3 linked regions of the Drosophila melanogaster genome follow. The protein of the gene in region 3 interacts with the protein of the main gene of each other region in a pairwise test. Each region holds a gene or a part of one and is shown on either strand. Other genes may lie near its edges.

Region 1 (9,450 bases), on a different chromosome or scaffold from region 3:
TCGTAGAGGGAGGGACGCTCCATGGCGTTCACCGTGTAGTGCTTTATGCGCTCTCGCTGGCACCAGATGTTGGCGCGGTCCATGACCTTCTCGACGGGATTTGGGGCTGCTCGTGCCCTCACGTTGGCCAGCACCACAACGGGAATCTCCTTCTTCTCCTTGTGCTTCTCAATGTCAGCCTTGATGTCGGCCAGCATGTCAAGGCTGCGCGGATCCATGGGATCGTAGACCAGAACGAATGCATCTGGAAACTGAAGGTAGTGGCGTGGCAGCTGCTGCTGCTCGCCCTGCAATCCGGCCGTGTCGTAGATGCGCAGGGTCTCTCGGGCTCCGCCCCTGCCTGTATCCACGCTGGCCACGTAGATATCCTCAATGGTTGGATGCAGTTCCTGCAATGAACTCCGGGATATGAGACATCAGCTTTACTTTGAGCTCTGCCAAAGGCATTCTCACCGTTTCGGGATTGACGTGGCCGTAGACCAGCTGCTCTATCAGCGCCGTCTTGCCCACGCCCTTCATCCCGCACACCAGTACCTTGCCGACCTTCCCGATCTTGGCATTTAGCATTATTCCAGCAGGAGAAATTGGGACCCAAAAAAATAAACAAAACTTTCGCTGGATTCTTGGTAGTGTGACCAAGCAACGCCAATGAGAAATTCCACTTAAGACAGGTCTTAAACAATTATCTTAAGCTAATTTTAATAATATAATATTAATTATTAAACAAACTTGAACTGATTGTACCAGATTTGTATGAAATAGGTAAATGAAAGTGTTCATACAAACCGTCTGTCTGCTTCTTTATTTATTCGATTTTAAACAAAAATATTTAAACGCTCCAGAGTGATGATAAGGCATTTACCAAAGGAATTAAAAGTTAATCAAAGTATTCCCTCTCATATATAGGTAAGGTACCAAACTTCTAATGTAAACTTTGGTGACGCATCATAAAATTGCCGAAAATTTTTTGTTTTTCCCCAAAATAGTTCCAAAATAGTTCCAATAGTTCCTTTGATTGCCCAGTTTTCTGTTTTCAAAAAGGATTTTCCATTTGTTCTTTGGTATCATTGGAAGTGTATTCCTGTTTAATAGAAATTGGTAAAAGTCTTACAAATAATTCTTAAGCCTAATGCTCAGTATTCAGCCTACACAAATAGGCTAAAAACCAAATTTCCGATTTGATTGAACTATTTGCTGCGGCAGCAACTCTGTTGCGTTGAAAACTGAATGTAATTTGTTCTATAGTAGCACTGTATTAGCCATTTATTGCAGCTAGGACCAGCGCAGTTGGTATCTCAGCTTGCGGAGATGGATTCTCGTTTTGAAGACGACATCCCACAAGGGACTGCTGATGCCGTAACCGAGAGTTTGGTGCGAGAAGTGGTGGTGGTGATGATAGCGCTTCATGTGTACAAAGGCCCATAGCGAAGGGTTCCCATAGTGCAGGTAGTAGTGCATCATATCGTAGCACAGATAGCCGGCCAGAGCTCCAGACAAGATCACTCGCGGATGGGACAGGACAAAGCTGAGCGGGGTGTAGATGACCGCGGCGAGCACTGCGCCGGGAAGGGGCGGAAACACCAGTCGCATCGGATCGAAGGGCACCTTGTGGTGCAGGCCATGGATCATGAAGTGGAAGGTGCATAGCCAACTTCCGCTCTTGTTGCTCAGCTTCACGTGGAACACCCAGCGGTGCAGTGTGTACTCCAGGAAAGACCACAGGAGCACGCCAAATAAAAAGTAACCGGAGAACACAGCCAGCTGCAGAAAGAAGATACTTTTAGAAGATCGTATCCAAGAATGCGAAGATTGCGCGACTACTCACCTGGTTGCTATCCTGCCAGGCGGTGGTGAACTCCTCCACGGCGCATTTCACGATCACTGGTATCCAGAACAGGGGCACCAGCCACCAGGGCGTCTTGGTGCACATCTCCAAGTACCAAGGGTCAAAGAGACGCAGTGGCCTGTCCACCGGCTTGTGAACCCACTCATCGTAGCAATCCGTTATGTTAGCTATCTGCGGAAGCATTGCCTTAGACCAGTCCACTAGGTGCTGGAATTCATGAATTTACAATAGGTTAGTCAATAAATTAATACAGTATGTATTACCATAAATTGGTTTGGTTAATTACCTTTGAAAATTAAATATTTAAAATTAGAAGCTGTGCAGAGTTTTTATTTTATTTTATATTTTTTTATTTATTTTATTTTAACTTTACTATAATTACAGAATAGTAAGAATTTCACTTGATTTCTACTTGCTTTTTTATTTAATATTTACTTAAACACTAGGACATCCCATAAACCGTTAGTTGGCTCGAATGTGGCCAGCCGCGGGTCAGCACCGAACCGATATATAATGTTATCGGGCATCGATGAGCAGGTACAATCACAAGCAGCTGGTTCAAAATTGTCATTTGAACCTGTGCCTTACTTCACACAACGACGCAGTTTCCACTTGTCGTAGTCGAGATCACATTTCTGGAGCCCCAGCCGTCTAGTTATAGTTCGGGAGTAGGTGGAACATGTCGAATACTTCAGTTCGCCCGATTCCAACGTTAAAGGGCATCTTTTCGGTGCCGCGTAAGATTTCTTTTCCAAACAGCCGCTTGGCCATGGCAACCAGTTGGTAATTTGTTTTGGTCTCCGTTCCCACAGGCGTCACACAGTCCCGAAACTTCCTCAAGGAAAACAAGGTGAGCCTGCGCTCGCTGGAAAAGTCCACCAGCCAGAAGTTGGCCGCTAAGGAGCCGACGCGCCCGAAATGGATGCCCCCGCTGCGACGCTCTTCCTCCGTGATGGGAGACTCGAAGGCGGAGAAACCAGCAGCTAAGGGCAAAACTATAAAACAGAACTCGTTGCAAAATGGCCGCAGCACCTCTCGCTCACAGCACCAACTGGCCGTGGCCGTTCCGGCGGAGGGGGAACGCTTCGATGGCCTGGAGGAGCGCAATCCCATCTTATATGACCCGTCGGAGAACTTAGAATCCGAGAATCTCCAAGAGCCTTCGTCGGATACAGACATTGATCGCTGTCAATCGTGTGGCACGAATCGGAGCTCCACCAGCATAGCCATCCAAACTGAGGACATTACCGACGAACTCTATCTAACAAATGCTCTGAAGAAGTATGACTTTTTGCACCAAACTCGAAGGTTTTCACAAAGGTTTATCTTATCCGCAGATGTAACTTTGATGCCAGATCTATACTGGAGGAATCCGGTGCAAAATACGGGGAAAACTACAAACCCATGCAATATGAAAACGAGGAAGATTTGGAACAGTTGCCGCTTTCGGCGCGTTCGAACTCCTCGAAGCAGAGTCGCTTCAACATGTCCGAAATGGAGGCTATGCCCATGACCGAGGCCGAACCTGCAAACTACGGCGCCTCAGACGACGAGGCTCCACTCAGTGCCCGTAGTCGTTTCACAACGGCCTCCAATGTCACCACCATAAGCTCTAAGTCAAAGCGTCGTGAGCATAAACTAGGATGTGAGTTTATCCCTTGTTTACCAATTGTCAGCGACAGTAATGACAAAATTAAATATCTTTGATAATTATTTCATATATAATCTATAATTATTCTCTATTTTAAATATCTTATATTCCCTCCTGATTTGATTTGAACTAGTCATGAATTTGTACTTTTTGACAGCCCGAGATGAGGTGCGCTTGCCGCGTTACCTGGAAAAGCAGAAGCGCGAGAAGGCGGTGGCCAAGCAGCTTGCGGAATCGCTGGATCCCGACTGTCCGCGTGGCCATGTGTTGCTCAGCGATCAGGACCGACTGACGCACCTCACTAATGCTAAGAAACGTGAGTTAATGTTACTACTATAAGTTTGACCCTTGCTAACGAATCTTAACAGGCTACGAACAGCTGGTTAATGAACTGAACCACATGCCCATGACTGCACAGACGTTGAGGGTGCGCAACCGCAAGGCGGAGATCGACAAGGAGCTGACCACCGTGGAGGAGGACATCCGCATATACTCCAAGGCAAAGGTCTTCGTGCTGGCCAGCAAGTCGCGACAGTTGTGAGAACTCATGCTACATAGCTCCCAAAAACATTAAAGCATTCCATCGACTGACTGACCGAGCGAGCTACTGGAATCTTGGATTTGCAAAACACGCGTGTTCCTTTCAACCATGCCTTACGTTAATAATATATTTTTTAGCTGAGATTTGGATCGCAGACCTACCCCGCCCCGATAGCATTGTGACCAACTTAACGTGCGATCCAGTCGACCAGCAACTAGAGTTACAGATTAAAAACCGCTCATCCAACTTACCTCCATACTATCGTCCACCTGGTTATTGTTCTTGTCCTCCGTTTCCCTGGGCCGTTGTCGCAAAGTCCCATCTTCATCGTGATGCAACGTTTCCCTTTGGCTCGACTTTGGTTTCCGAGAGTCCTCTGGATCGATTTTGTACTCCCTCATCAAGTACATGGCCGCATCCGAATGTGGCGGCGCCTTTAGGAAGCGAGCTGTCATGTCCCCGCTGTTGAGACCTTTGAGTGTGTTTATGCCTCCCGGATGCTTGTGCATAAACCTGGACAAATCGTAATACTGCTGGCGATACTTTACTATGAACTTGTCGTTCGACTCCGCTTCCTTTGGTATATCCATGTCGATGGGCATCAATTTGGCAACTGCAGTGCGAAAAACAATCGGATAAGACTTTGCTGTTCCTTTGCGAGCATGATACTCTGCCACTGATTATCTTTGGAATTAATTACTTTGCGTGCCCAGCAGCAACATGATGCCATATTGTATCGGACACGCTCAATTAAATATATAATTCACCTCCTCTTAGAGTTATTTTGTACACAGATCAAATGTATCATCCCCAAAAAACTGAATTAAATAACCCTCATTGGCGCAGCTAAATGAAATATTTCACACAAATATATTTTAAGTAAATCTCCTTAAGAACATATTGTTTAATTAAAAAAAAACAACAGCTATCTATCTGCTGAGATAATTGGTTACGAATTCATAATTTTGACCTTGATGCTTATGGTATTTACACAAATAAAACGACAATGTATTATAAATAATCCTGTTTTTATTAATAGTTTTTGAAGGGATGCAGCATTTCCTACATATTTGATATGCGCACTGTATAGTATTTGCCATTTTCATGATTCATAAAAAAATTTCACAGCCAAACCTACGATAGCGTAATCTATTGAAACCAAAATATAAGTATAGAAAAAGTATCTGCACCTATTATCTGCATTCCAAGGTATCCATTAAAGTCAAAGTTTTGCTTATCAATTAACTTCTATCCGATTTCTAGTGACCCTAAGGATATATTATTTTGACTTCCTTTTAGTTGAAGAAATTTTGGATTGATACCTTCTATTCTGGCGTTGAACTTATAGGATTCCCTAGTTGGGTGTGGGAAAGATTTTCGAAACACCACACTTGCAGAACATTTGTTTAATTGATTCGGTAATAGATGTAATTACAGCGATTAGGGCGAATCAATTGCAGGTCGTAATTGCAACCTACAGAGCAATGTTGGAAATGCACTGGAGGCATTTCACCCAGTGGCCGTCAGGGGCTCAATTGAACTTGGCATTCCCGAAGTGCGCCAGATGTTTCTTTCCGATGATGCGTGCCCATATGGGATCCGCACAAACATTTCCATTCTTAACGGCGCGGGCACTTTGCCTTTTGCCTACGCGCCGCACTGAGCGTCGCCATTCCACGGACGAACTTGCTCCGTCAATAGTTTGCCTTATCAATGCTGATAGGAAAGCCTGTAAGCGCGGGGATTTGGTTTGGATGAGAGGGAGTAGACGGCTCGTTTGTCAAAGTGGCAAGTGGTAAGTCCCCAAACGGGGTGCCACGTTAGGATTGAGGGTGGAGCAGGTGCTCTGACTCAACCCCGGGCTGGGGCTGCGTCACATTGATTAATAGTGTCTATCTGACACATAGACACATATGCGGGATAGGCTGGGCACTGTCTGCCCGACCTCTAGCACCTATGGTCTGGTCTGTCCATTGGCGGAGCCATCAAACGAAGCCCAACACTCGTGTTTACACGCGGCTAATGGCGTTTGTTCGGGGAGTGATAGTGGCAAGCAAAGCTTTATCTATCCGGGTTAGCAGTGCCCCGAAAACCTGTGGATCGGATACCGGGCTGGGTCGGATGATATCTTATCGCGGGCGATGACAAAGTATCGAAGATACATAGTTGGGCTATCGTCCTAAACTATGGGCTAAGCTGCTTGCCACACTTAGTGCTACTTGCACCCAGGCAATTTGCATAATTTCAGACCCTCGGCTACCACGGGATTATTTATTTACCGAATTCGCACTGCTCTGATCAAAACACTGGGCTCTTGACTCCAGACCGGGTTCCCAACTGTCGGCAGAGCCTCTGACCGCACGCAACGCAACGCAACTCACGACTGAACTATGGCCCACCCACCCAACACATCCACATCCGTGGCGTCGACGCCGACGTCGCTGCTCAGTGCTATCTTGTGGGCTCTAGCCGCTGCTAGTTACCGGCACCTCTAGCCCTAACCACTAGCCGTCGGTGCTCCTGACGAAGCGGACCACGCATCGGCTACGATAAGATAAACCCGGACAAGTTCCAGTTGTAGTTCCAGATACAGTGATCCACGAAGTGGGAGGACTGCCGGTAATGATTGTACCGATCCGAACTCTTATCGTCCAATTTGCAAGGCACCGTAAATGTAGCTATCGCTGCGTGTTCCAATATTCTAACAATCCTGACGTAGATCTCGATTGCGTTTAACGAGCTGCGGATAACTATTGCTGGAGCCCTTATCAAGATTCCTATACAAATTGTTCCCAGACGAGTCACCACGAATCGGAACTCTGATTTCGGCAATCGAAAATGAATCACCCATGAACATCGTCCTCGGCGAGCTTCCTCGGTGCTTACCACGATATGGAGGTACTTCTTCGCATGAGTATGTACTCCTATTGGGCACTTGACTCTCGAATCAGTCCTGATGTATGGTATCATTGCCCTCATGTCAAGAAATAATTTTCTACTGCTAATATAAAATCACGTTGGTAACTTATGATGTTTAGATTCCGAGGCACGAAAATGTTCTTTAAGCAAAGGTTTACAGCAATAGGACCTATAAGTTCGAAAAAGTCCTTATATCATAGATCTAATTTTTTAAATTATGACCCTTGTATATTTCCAATCCATTTTAGGATTCATTGTAACCTAAGTATAGTAAAAGTGTGGCATTTTTAGTTCTTACATATGTATATCTTATTTATATATTATCTATATACTTAATACTTAATAAATATGTTAGTTATGAAAACATCCTTTCACAGACATAACTTCTTACGTTTTCTATAGAACATTTATTACTGATACAAATCAAAACCCTATTTAAAATGGTTTTGAGATTTAAAGAGTTTCTCATGCTCATGATATATGTAACATAGCATAGTTAAAATATTAATTTAGTACATTTCATTTGCCAGTAATCGAACCAAAAAAATCTTTTCGAGATCCCAGTTAAGTGCCAGTGATAGTGTGGTTGGTAATGCTTAATCGTCTTTTTGTAGTGAAGTCGATTGAGTGAGCAAAAGTGAAGCCTAACTAACAGGTTTCGATAAGCCACAATAGCTCGGTTCAAGCCACAAAGGTGAATTTGTAAGGCATCTCAATGGGTTAGAAAACCGCGGAGTAACCCAGTTATAGTTTGTATATGTTTGTTAGTATAGCACTGGGTTTAAGTAGACTAATAGATTCGTATAGGGATATATAATATATTGCTAGTTCGCTGGCGAGTTGTGTCCACTTTTCCCTAAGGGGAATGCAAGTCTGTGCCAACAACTTGACGTTTAAGGGCCAAGCCAATCCCCACGGACACCATTTTAGTTATTGTCCATGGCAAGGGACTATATCGAAGAAGTTAATTATACACATGTCATCGCATCAATCGCCTTCAAAGCCACTAATATCATACAGGTCGAATGGGAATCGAATTGATTGGCTTGAGTGCGGGGTCACCTCGATAAGTTTGCTTATAAGTTTGAGCAGGAAGTAATTACTCTCTAATGTGACAACACCCATAACCATATTAATCACGTGTGACACCATAATAGAATAGGTAAGCAATAGAGGATAAAACACCCAGCGCTTTTGAAGGATGGGACATATTTATGCCATGGGAGTCCAGTCTGTGGCCTTTTTCTTGGCATTTCTAGTATACTCATACTAGTCTGTGCCTTAGAACTAGTTTGATTAGAAATGTTCAGCGTATTTTCTTTTCAAAAATGTCCATTTTAATCCCAATGCTTGCAAGTCTTATAAAATACATTATCAAAACAACAAACTTAAATACAAATTCATACAAAATGAAAAATTTCAACATTATCTTTAAAACTGTGGGCGTGGCAGCTTTGGGCGTTATGGTAAGCTTAACAACCAGGGTTATCGAAAATAAGTTTCGTCTATGTCTGTGGAATCTGCATGCTTAACCTTAACTTTCTAGCTTTTATAGTGCCTAAGATCGAGACTTTCATATGAACGGAAAAATCCCATAGCCCAGATCCAGATTCGGTTAGTTCCCGCCAGAAATTGGCAAATAATAAAATTTAAAAAAATATACAAAAAATTTAAAAGTGTGGGCGGTTAGAAGGTGCGTGGCCAAAGTTCTTTTGCTGTACCGATAGAAATTGGCCAAACTTGGATCTCAACCTCTACACGGACGGACACGGCCAGATCGATTCCAATATTGACCCTGATCAAGAATATATACTTTACTATATAAATGTACTTTAACAAATCTAGTATATATACTTTTACCCTATGAGTAACGAATATGAAAATAGTATTCGATTGAGTTTCATAAGGTAAATATTTCAGTTCCTGATGGTGATGTGTGTAACATTCTGTGGCTACAATACGACACACGCCTTATATCCAAGATAAGAATCTATCAAAGTTCGATATCGCAACAGATGGGTAAATAAAATCTTTATTGTGGGCTCACACCATTCTCAAAAGAATCTTATCATAATGTATGGAACAATTGTAAAGATACAATCTGAAGAACATATTTTCATTGCATATTTTTTAGCGGGTTTAATTATTCCTTCTGACAATCGATTAATCATATTACAGAAAGCGTGTGTGTATCATTCGGTATCATCTAACTGAATTAAATCATTAATTTAAATTAGTTTTAATATCAACTTTGAAGTCCCAATACAATAACTAATCTAGTTACTTGATAGTGGTTATGTCCTCAACGATCGATTACCTTTATTAAAATAAAGTGTCTTACCGGACATAATTTAACACTCATATAATATTTTATACTTTAATATTTAGCAACAATCATCGGGATCAAACCGATTCAACTGTCAGAAAAAAAGGTTGACATTTTTAGCAGCAAGACCACAACAGATAGCGTTTTTCGCCTAAAAGGTGGCATTT
Region 2 (5,277 bases), on a different chromosome or scaffold from region 3:
TCTTACTCCATTTGGGCGCGCTGTCGTGTTAATTTAGCGCGAAATATTTGACAAGATGACGCGATGCCACAGTCCCTGCGCCCATTTGCACCCCTCGCAATGGTGCACAGGCAGAAAAAACGGGTCACTTGTGCAGTTCAGTCTTTTGACTGGCTTGCAAATACGTTTTTTTTTTCACTTTGGCCAAGGACTAAAACATGGACAAACTTAAGCTCTCTCGTGCAAAACTGCTTTTATTGCGTTAATAGCTACTTCATTTCTTGCAGTGTATGCCAGGACAGGCACTCTTGTCGACGGCAGTAACGATCGAACTTCAGTCTCAGTCTCGCTGTCTGTGCAACAGACACTCATATCGATTTATAAGATGCCACACACTCCTGACATTCGATAGTGACTCCACTGTCGTGTCCTGATGTCCCGATGTCCTGATGTCCCGATGTCCTGATGTCCCGATGTCCTGATGTCTCGATGTCCTAATGTCCCAGTGTACCGCCCCAAAAGTCCTAGAGTTGCCGTGATTGAGCTGCGCGGTCGCTTTAAGTGATTTGCTCTCTCCAGCTAATTCGCAGACAATCCAACGTAAAAGCCGCAAGTGACTATTGACAGTTTGAACAAGGACTACACGAAACTTGGTTCTGGATTCGAATCAAGAAGATCACCAAATATATATTATTGAAATACTCAATTATTAGCGAAACTCTTGATTTTATCGATTTATTATGCCATTCTTTTTAAGTTAGTAACCAATTCAAGTGACTCGAAAGTTTTGATCGCCCATGCCATTTATGATTCAATTCAATCTATGCCTATGGCCACAAATAGTCGAGTAATTTATCGTATAAACTGCATTTTCAAGCCAAACTACTCACGGCCCAAATCAGCCGCATAATCAGCGCTATCGCCATCATCATCGGCACTATCATTATCATTATCATTATCATCATTGTTCCTTGTCGCGTCGTTGGGGATCGAAGGTTGTCGTTTGCTATTGGGGGGGTTACACGGGTTATTGAGGGTTACAAGGAGGTTACAAGGTGGTTACAGAGGGAGGAGGTTCATAGTAGGGAGCCAGCCAACGACAGACAGAGTCATTTATAAAATTTCCACCCGAACGTGTTAAATGGCGTCAATATTAAAAGTTCAAATATGACGCTGACGATGACGACGCTTGGGGAAAATGGGCAAGGGAAAATGGTTATGTGCGGGTGCATGGACGGTGACTTTAGGGGTTCGCGGGTCTAGGGCGTGATAAAATCGTAGGTTTGGCCAGGCAGGCAGACTAACATATATAGACGGCAAACGAATCAACAAACGTTGAAGCTATTATCGTTGTCGCAACATCGCACAACTACAGATACAACTGCGGCGTAACATGCATGGGTGTCTCTGGTCTAAGATAAAGGGGGTTCGTAACTGAAGTCTAGAAAGGGATATTTGCACTTTTAGAAAATAATAGCTACAAATCAAAGTCTTGAAAGTTCAAAAGCAGGCAATCATCTTGTTTTAAAGAGTATCCTGGTACCTTTATGTCTTGTCTTAAATGTAGTACTTAAATATACGAGTTTAGATCCCTTCTGCGAATGCCACTGCATACACACACACATATGGCATATGGTCCTTGTTGCTATTGCTCTTGCTGCTGCTCATCATCATCTTTTGGCGTTAGCAAGTGCTTGGCGGCAACTTCTAATGGCGGCATTATGCCCGCCAAACTCCACCCCCCTCCCCAAGCCTTATTCTGCTCATGAGTGTGTGTGTGTGTTTGTGTGTGTGTGTGTGCGCCCTGCGCAAAATGAAAATGAAACTGTTGCAAAATCCCATAAAACGGCCAAAAAGCTTTTGTAAATGACGCCAACAGCTGTCGATGGCAAAGCAGACAACGTCGCCGTCCGCCCAATTTGCCAAAGCACCCACCCACTCACTCATGAAGCCCCAAACACCCCCCCACCCCTTCGGAAACACCCCCTTCGTTGTACCACGATTGACATCTATGTGTGGGTGCACCGCTAAAAAATACTTCTATTTGAAATGATCGCTTTGTCTTAAGGTTTTTAAAACATTATAACATAGCATAGTAATACATAGTAATACTGAACTTGCCACAATAGAAACATTTGTATTCGATTTCAGATTATGTAACGCATATGTGAAATAATTTATTAGACTTAAATTGTTTTCAATACCAAATTGTTTTCACTGCTTAATTGTGTGTTAGAAATGGGGGTTAGATGGCGCTGCTAGTGGTGAGTGGGGCATCGTGAAGGTTTTTGGCGCGTTTTAATAAAGCGACAATGACATTTTATGAATTTTCCACTTTGTTCTCGGTCCACGCCCACAATACGCCAACCCAACACCCCCTAACCCGCCGATGACACCACGATGCCAGCCCCTTTGTGCTGTTTTCATTATTTGTTTGTTTGCCGAGAACCACAGACTGGCGGCCGGTTGGAATCCAGGACTCCAGGACTCCAGGACTGTAGGACTCCAAGACCAGGACTTCCAAAACTCCAAATGAATTGACATTGTCTGTGTATTCGACGGCTGGTTCAGTGTGTGTGTGTGCCGTGGGTTGGAGGGGGCAAGCCCCCGTGTGTGTTAGTGGGTGCTGGTGCCTGGGTGTTGCACAAAGGCGTGTCCCAGTGTGCCTTTTGATATCGGATTTCATTTATAATTAGCTGCAAAGTTAACGGTTGCCAGCCATACCTTGACTTGTGGTTGGTGGTGGCCCCGGTCAAGTAATTTGCTTGTCAGTTGGGTTCCCGGGGTTACTTGGCTCACCAGATGGATGGCAAGGCTGCCATGGGGCTGCACTGCAGGTGGTGGAAGCTGTCCAACGGCCAGGAAGATGTCGTAGTTTAAGTTAAAAGAATCTTTAAGCAAGGCTTTTTTTCCAATATTCTAGCCCCTTTCGATTGCAAGATAACTTAAAATTTAAATTATATTACCATTTATAAATGCACATGAGTAAAATTGTTATTATTATTATTGTTATATATAAATATATATCTATATAAATTTATTTAATAGCTTATAACATCGTTATCAGTGTGAACATTCTATAATCCTCCCATGCATTGCGGTAAGTCGATGATCAATTGTATCGATCGATAGCAAGCTTAATCTATCGGCGTAAGCAGCGTAGCTCTCATAAAACAATAACATTGAGAACCAGTCATTTCAACCACATTGCTTTGGCTTTGCCATGGCCAAGATATTGCCCACCGATGGCATCTGGATACCGGAGTCGTGCAGCTTTCCGGAGGATGTGATGATCGATATGATGGAGGGACTATTCCGCGATGTGCCAAACCTAACGCACAAGGAGTACCTGGCGCTGGCCGACCTGCAATCTAGATGGATGGCGAAGCTGGCCAACCGACAGCCGGAATCGAATCCCCTGCCGCCAAAGCCAAAGAAGCGTAAGAAAATCGCTCCAAAGAAGCAGGACCAGCCTGTCGAGGAGAAGGGCAGCGAAGTCGACATCTACGATGTGGACGACAACGAGATGGTCAACAATCGCATCTACATTCCGCGACTGCGTTCCGCTTGGAGAGCTCGCTATTTCAACATTATGATGCGCGCCTTTGTCATCAAACGGGGACTATTGAATAAGCACATTAACTGGCAGATTCTCGACAAGATCATGGCAGCCCCCGACGCAGAGGGACAAGCCGAGCTTCAGGCGTTTGTTGACAAAGTGGTCGCAGGCCAGGAAATGTAGTCCTTACAGCCTCCTAGGATAAGCACCCAAACACATAGATATGTAAATTCAAAATATCAATTGTTTACTCAAATTAAAAATAACAATTGTATAATCAAATCAACCTTTGTAAAATCATACCAATTGAACATAAGCATAGGTGTGAAGCAAAACCAGAGCCAATAAACCATACGAATGCCATCGTCTTCTGTGGGCCAAATCAACAAACGTTTTCCCAATTTCCCCATGAACGGCTCGGTGCCACACACCGAAACATGGGAGAAGTTACAAAGTAAATTCCACGCCCGGTTGCCAAGTGGTAGTCCAAATTAACAGCTAATTACGTGCGAATGAGAGCTACCCGGTTGGGGGATGTGGTCCAAATGTACTGGCTGCGAGCAAAATGGAAAACGGGGCAGGTCACAACGAACACGTACTAGCAACTAAATGGAGAGAAAGCGAGACAGACACCGAGTCAAACAACATTTGAATACGAAATTGCCCTTGAAAAAAGGGTTGCCAGCAAAAAAAAAAAAAAAAAAAAAACAATCAAAAAAAGTACAAGATATTCCAAAAGTCCCTGCGAGGCGAGAACAAAAGTGACAAATTAGTCAGTGGGTGGGGGTGTCAGTGGGAGGCAGTCGACACTGAAAGCGTTAAAATTGAGATGGGGTGCGCCAAAAATATCCACTCGGAAAACGTTGAACTTACATATATAATGCAAGACAACTTGGTCGTTAGACCGGGTCTTTCTGTATTCTTTCTGGTCATTACAACATAATATTGTGGCGGTTGTCATAAGGAAACTTTCACAAATCTGCACACGTAGCTCGATCTCTTTTTGCATAATTACCAGCCAAGTCAAGAAACAATAGGTAGAGGTATAGTAAGTATACATTATCATTTTTCTTTCAAACTTCAAATTGTATAAAATCTGTTCAACGTTTAAGCAACTACAATACGGCAAGTCAGAAAAGAAAAGTTTTATTTTGCTTAGATATTTCATGTTTTTGATCAATTTTCTTGCATTGTTTCTCTATATATATTTCAATTTGGAATATGGAAATGTGCAAATACCCTTAGTTGATTGTATTGAATATTGTATTGTATAGTTGATTGGATTGAATATCTAAAGTTGTTCCCTATTATGTATTTTTTCAGCTGCCACTGTGTGTGGTTATTGTCGGTTTGTAGATTTGTAAGCAATGACTCTGGTCCTTAGGATCCAGAATCCAGGATCCTTAGGATCGGACTTGGAAAATTAACGCCCCAAAAAGGGATTGTGTCGTTAAATGGGGGCATTTGCATTTCAGCACCCGGTTTAATGGGAACTGAAAAGTTCTCCGATGTTTTATCCAGATGATTTAACGGTGAATATTCCGAACGTATTCGGTATCTCCCCATCGTGTTCGATGCCTAATTGTACCCCAAAGTACAGGACGTCGCCAACGTTTACTTCGCACCAAGAACTGCCGATTCGCGTCGGCCAATAGTTAAGAAATATGCCATTATTGGTTTCCTGCGGAAGGCATAAACGATAACCATCGGTTGCACCATCGTAATACGCATCTTACCAT
Region 3 (5,217 bases):
ACACACAACCAAAGGAAGTGGGCCGGAAGTGAGCTCGAAAACGGAAGCAGCCCACAACACATGAAATTGGCTTAGGGAAGGAAGTGGGAGGCAGGCTAAGGGGAAGGGACTTTATTTGTTGCCTGCCACACTTCGGTTGCTTGTTTGTCGGCGTCGTCCTCGTCGATACTAATCTAATTTTATTGATATTGACACAATTTCTGCAGATTTCCGCATAAACATAAAAACAGAGCTCGAACCTTGGAGCTTCGGCTCAAGTAGCAAAACAGTCAAGGCACGCAAACAAATGGTATCTAATAAAAATTGAACAAAAAGCAAACAAAAGTTCGATGATGCGGCCGCCATTGGATGGAAGTCAAACAATACTGAAGTGCTCGGCGGCCATTTCCGTTTGCAAATGGAGAACACAAGAAATATCAGTCTAGGCAATACTGTATTATAGAAGTTTGAAAAACAATTCATAGAATAGTGTAACTTGTATATAGCAAATAGATTTTCTTAACATAATAATAATCGTACTCATTTTATTTCATTGTGAAAAATTTAAAATCACATTTTAAGGTGTGTAGATATTATTAAGCTTAACGTTCATTTTATATTATATCAAGCAAATCTAAGTCCAAGTGAAAATTCCCAAAATTAATCGCTTTGTATTTGCCCAAGATAAGGTAACATTAATTTCGGGTATTACCCACTTGAAAATTTACAATCCAATTGATAACTAATACAGATTTTTATTGATACGGATTTTAGCTTTCTGCTTGATAAGCCAACCAGTTTCGGAAACTTAATCGTTTGACACGGGAAGGTAAACGTAGTTAGTAGATTTCTTGTAGAAAAAAAACCATTTAAACTCTAATTTCCCCTACCAGGTGGGACTAAGCTTCGTCGGTACGGAGAGCGGCTGGTGGTGCTTCATTTGGCTCACCCGATGGCTGCCAGGTTGGGCAGGATGTGGGCTGGATCAAGGCCATTTTCTAATATTTTTAACAATAATAAAAAAACGTTCTAAAATTCTTGGTATTTTCTTGTATGGAATGAATAAAAAGGTTCCTTATTACGTAATTAATACTCAAAATATTTGTTTTAGATAAGAAAAAGATAAGGGTATGTCCAACATAAAAAACATAATCAGTTACAATTCAGATTGCGCTGTTGGGTTCATTCCTATAGCCGCTCAAAAATAGGCAATGCTTTTTAGGAATATGAAAACTGGACTGCGTGGCTTTACGGCTAATAAAACACACCGGACTGGTTCTTGATCCAATCCAGATAGCTGGTGACGCGGGTGAAACCAGCAGGCGCATTTTTCTCACATCCCTTGGAGGACACAAACGAGGTCACACCAATTAGTCTATTGTTCAAAGCCAACGGACCGCCAGAATCGCCCTGACAGGTCGACTTCTTGTTGATGGACTCCACGCAGATAACTCCACTGGTGACCACAGATGACCCAAAGGTCTTCTGACACACAGCATTGGTAATGACCTGAAATTGTGCGTATTGAAGGTTCGTGGCGACGGCAATGCTGGAATCGGAGGTCCTGCCCCATCCGGAAGCCACTGCAGTCTGTCCGGCGTAGGTGGAGTAGCTGCTGGCGATGGCGGGCAGGGCAATCTTATTTATGGAAACCGTAAAAGTGACGGATGGAGTCTTGATCAGGGAGATGTCGTTGCGCAAAGTAGCCGCATTGTAGCCGGCATGCTGCACAAACTTGGAGCTGGAGACCTTTTTCTTCAGTTTGGCACTAGTGCGAACGGTGGACCCATAGTAGATGGTCACGGAAGAGGCTCTAACAGAATAAATCTTAAATCGATTATCGATTTTTTAAAAAAATTACTCACCCTTTGGTGCAATGAGCAGCAGTTAGTACCCATGTATTCGCTATTATTGAACCACCGCACCACCAACTGCCAGCCGAGCTTTTAAAACTGAGTCCCACCTGGTAGGGAAACTGGTTAGCAGCTGCCTTGTTTCCATTGGTAATGCGACCATCTATGGACGGAACAGCTGAGCTATCACGGGGATGTACTGGAGTGTCCTGGCGCAGGATATCAGCAGAAACTGTGGCAATTGCCAAGACCAAGACAGCAAAAACCTTCATCTGGATCGAATACACTTTAAAGAGTGAGCAATTTCTGGTATTAAGGATCATTTTATATTGTCTTTGAAATCAGCAGCGAAACAACAGAATTGTAAATCTTTAACCATTAAATAGGCTTAAAAAGGTCTTAAAACCACTGTACCTTACATCATTATGGCAATATTGCTTCCAATTTACCAAGAATTAAATAAAATAAAAGCAAATGTTTGCTTTGGAATCTTTTTATAAAGTCCTATTCTTTATGGCTTACTCTTTAAGTTACAACGTAAATAGGCAGTTAAGATAAAGAAATATTGATAAGTAATAAATAATTGTTTTTAACCAAGCAAATCCCAACTAGCAAAACAAAAGCACAAAAGTGGTAATGCTACCAAAGTAATTATCTTTTATTCGCACAATTTGAAAGTCCCTAATTTGTGATGAAGAAATAAATGCCAGTAGCTACATTAATATCTTATCAAATAGAAAAATTTTACAAAAGCGCCATATAATAAACTTAAAAAAATTTTTGCGACACTTAATCAGAACATTTAAGTGGACTTGCCCAGCCATCTATGCAGATAAGATTTCTCAGTCTGGGTATAAAAGAGGCCGTGTTGGAAAGGGAAAATCACTCATAGTTTGAGCAACCATCAGCATGAAGGTTTTCGTAGTTTTGGTTCTGGCTCTGGCCTCCGCCTCCGCTGGGCTCCTGCCCAATATTGCCCCTGTACATCCCCGTGACAGGGTCTCGACCCCATCCATCACCGGTCGCATCACCAACGGCAAGGACGCCGTTGCCGGCCAGTTCCCCTACCAGGTGGGACTTAGTTTCTCCAGCTCTGCTGGCAGTTGGTGGTGCGGTGGCTCCATCATCGGAAACGAGTGGGTGCTGACTGCTGCTCACTGTACCGACGGGTAAGTGCATTTTCCGTCCTTCAAGACCAGGTCTAATGAGAGTATTTCCAATATAGTGCCGCCTCCGTGACCATCTACTACGGTGCCACTGTCCGTACTAGCCCCGAGTTCACCCAAGTCGTCAGCAGCTCAAAGTTTAGGCAGCACGAAAGCTACCTGGCTTTGACCATCCGCAACGACATCTCCCTGATCCAGACTTCGTCCGTGTCCTTCTCGGCTACCGTGAACAAGATCAGCCTGCCCGCCGTCTCCAACAGCTACTCCACCTACGAGGGAAAGACCGCTGTTGCCTCCGGATGGGGTCTCACCTCCGACCAAGCCACCGCCGTGTCTCGCGATCTGCAGTACGTGGACCTTACCATCATCTCCAACTCCAAATGCCAGGAAACCTTCGGAAGCCTGATCGTGACCAGCAGGGTCCTCTGCGTTGACACCACCAACAAGGCCTCCACCTGCCAGGGTGATTCCGGCGGCCCATTGGCTCTCGATGGTGTCCTCATCGGTGCCACCTCCTTTGGATCCGCTGATGGTTGCGAGTCTGGCGCACCAGCTGCTTTCACCCGTATCACTTACTATCGCGATTGGATCAAGGAAACTTCCGGTATCTAAGTGTTGAAGTATGAAATATGAAAACTGCAAAATATTATAAATAAAACTGTAATCATGATTTTACACATGTTAGACTTTTAAATAATGTCTAGAGATTGAGATCTACTCTCTTACCGTTTAATGAATCAGATTTCATAATAACTCTTATAGACTAACTTAATACACTTCTGGCTTTTGATATCGCCAAAGTGGGTACTTTATGATCGGTGACGAAATCGGGGCCTTGGATTGTAAAACCCCACAGCCATTCAACTCCAGGAAAATTATCAATGGCCTTTCATGTGTCGAAATGCAGGCGAAGGTGTGCAGTAAATTAAACAAATAATAAACTAAGCGTTGATAAAACGACAGTCAATAAATACAGAGACCCCGACCCAGACATTCTGGCCAATGTTGGGGGCTAAGACTGAAATCGTGCAATTGAGGACCCGGGAAAATGGGGGGTTCGAAAGCAATTAAGGAAACTGCAGTATGCCAAAGGGAGACGAAGGCCTAGCCTAAGCAACATAATCGCCAAAACGTGCGGCAATTACACGGTAGCTGGAGGAATTGAATGCCAAACATCTGCTGCTCCTCCCGTCTCCGTATAATTTGCACTCGGCCCAAGCAAATTCAATTAACAAACGATGCGGACACGTGCCGCATCCAAGTCGATGACGCAATGTCGATGCCACAATCGCTGACTATAAAAACACCAGCAAATACAACAACAAGCCCAGTACTTCACGTGAAGAGCCCACTCAGACCTGAACTTGGACTAACTCATTACGAGGAACATCAGCTATATATATAATATATGTAAATAAAAAGGCAATTCATTCATAAATTTCATTCAACATAATGAATAGAGTTTCCTATTCACATATTTAAGGGGGGGGGGGGGGCGGGGGGTATTCTATGAATTTGGTCAGAAAAAGGAAATATTACATTTAAAAGATATAGTATAGAATGCAATAACAGGTATTCCCCATATTATTTTTTCAATTCCGTAGTGATAAAATGGCGCAATACCAGGCTACAAGTGCTTTCTTCCTGCTACTTCTATCATCCACACTAGTTAAATCAAGTGAGCCTTGGCTAGATACTTTTGAGCACCCCAAAGAGGAGACACCGGACGATGACGATGCAATCATGGAAAGACGTTGGCAGCTTGGCTACGAAAACTTTCGACTTCGCTGCGAAAAATTCGAGATGGAAGGTAATCAAACCGCTGCTGTGAGAACTCGAATAGCTGGAGGAGAATTGGCCACGCGCGGCATGTTTCCCTATCAAGTGGGTCTGGTGATTCAGCTGAGTGGCGCAGATCTGGTCAAGTGCGGTGGTTCCCTTATCACTCTTCAATTTGTTTTGACTGCAGCCCATTGTCTGACCGATGCCATAGCTGCAAAGATATACACGGGCGCCACCGTATTTGCCGATGTAGAAGACTCCGTGGAGGAGTTACAAGTCACGCATAGAGATTTCATTATTTATCCTGATTACTTGGGATTTGGAGGATATAGTGACTTGGCTTTAATACGACTGCCAAGAAAAGTCAGAACTTCAGAACAAGTGCAACCCATTGAGTTGGCTGGGGAGTTCATGCATCAAAACTTTCTGGTAGGCAA

The links.
Region 1: the proteins of yip7 (region 3) and Fa2h interact in a two-hybrid assay, tested with the Drosophila melanogaster proteins (one large-scale study listed by BioGRID).
Region 2: the proteins of yip7 (region 3) and moon interact in a two-hybrid assay, tested with the Drosophila melanogaster proteins (one large-scale study listed by BioGRID).

Annotation. Positions count from the first base shown.
Region 1 is NT_033778.4:7,445,129-7,454,578, forward strand, and holds Fa2h (fatty acid 2-hydroxylase), read right to left. Parts: upstream 6,426-9,450; 5' UTR 6,318-6,425; intron 4,868-6,317; exon of another isoform or gene 4,652-4,867; 5' UTR 4,641-4,651; coding exon 4,290-4,640; exon of another isoform or gene 4,039-4,289; coding exon of another isoform or gene 3,866-4,038; intron 3,814-3,865; coding exon of another isoform or gene 3,655-3,813; intron 3,492-3,654; coding exon of another isoform or gene 3,184-3,491; intron 3,128-3,183; coding exon of another isoform or gene 2,659-3,127; intron 2,584-2,658; coding exon of another isoform or gene 2,526-2,583; exon of another isoform or gene 2,345-2,525; intron 2,054-2,344; coding exon 1,826-2,053; intron 1,762-1,825; coding exon 1,273-1,761; 3' UTR 1,061-1,272; downstream 1-1,060. Other genes in the region: kappaB-Ras, read right to left, coding at 1-389, 454-567; CG11125 (uncharacterized protein), read left to right, coding at 2,526-2,583, 2,659-3,127, 3,184-3,491, 3,655-3,813, 3,866-4,038.
Region 2 is NC_004354.4:12,070,656-12,075,932, reverse strand, and holds moon (moonshiner), read left to right. Parts: upstream 1-3,114; 5' UTR 3,115-3,202; coding exon 3,203-3,721; 3' UTR 3,722-3,925; downstream 3,926-5,277. Other genes in the region: CG34323 (uncharacterized protein), read right to left, coding at 5,052-5,219, 5,275-5,277.
Region 3 is NT_037436.4:6,032,502-6,037,718, forward strand, and holds yip7 (yippee interacting protein 7), read left to right. Parts: upstream 1-2,714; 5' UTR 2,715-2,741; coding exon 2,742-3,001; intron 3,002-3,057; coding exon 3,058-3,610; 3' UTR 3,611-3,674; downstream 3,675-5,217. Other genes in the region: CG10477 (uncharacterized protein), read right to left, coding at 1,234-1,792, 1,845-2,104; CG6462 (uncharacterized protein), read left to right, coding at 4,610-5,217.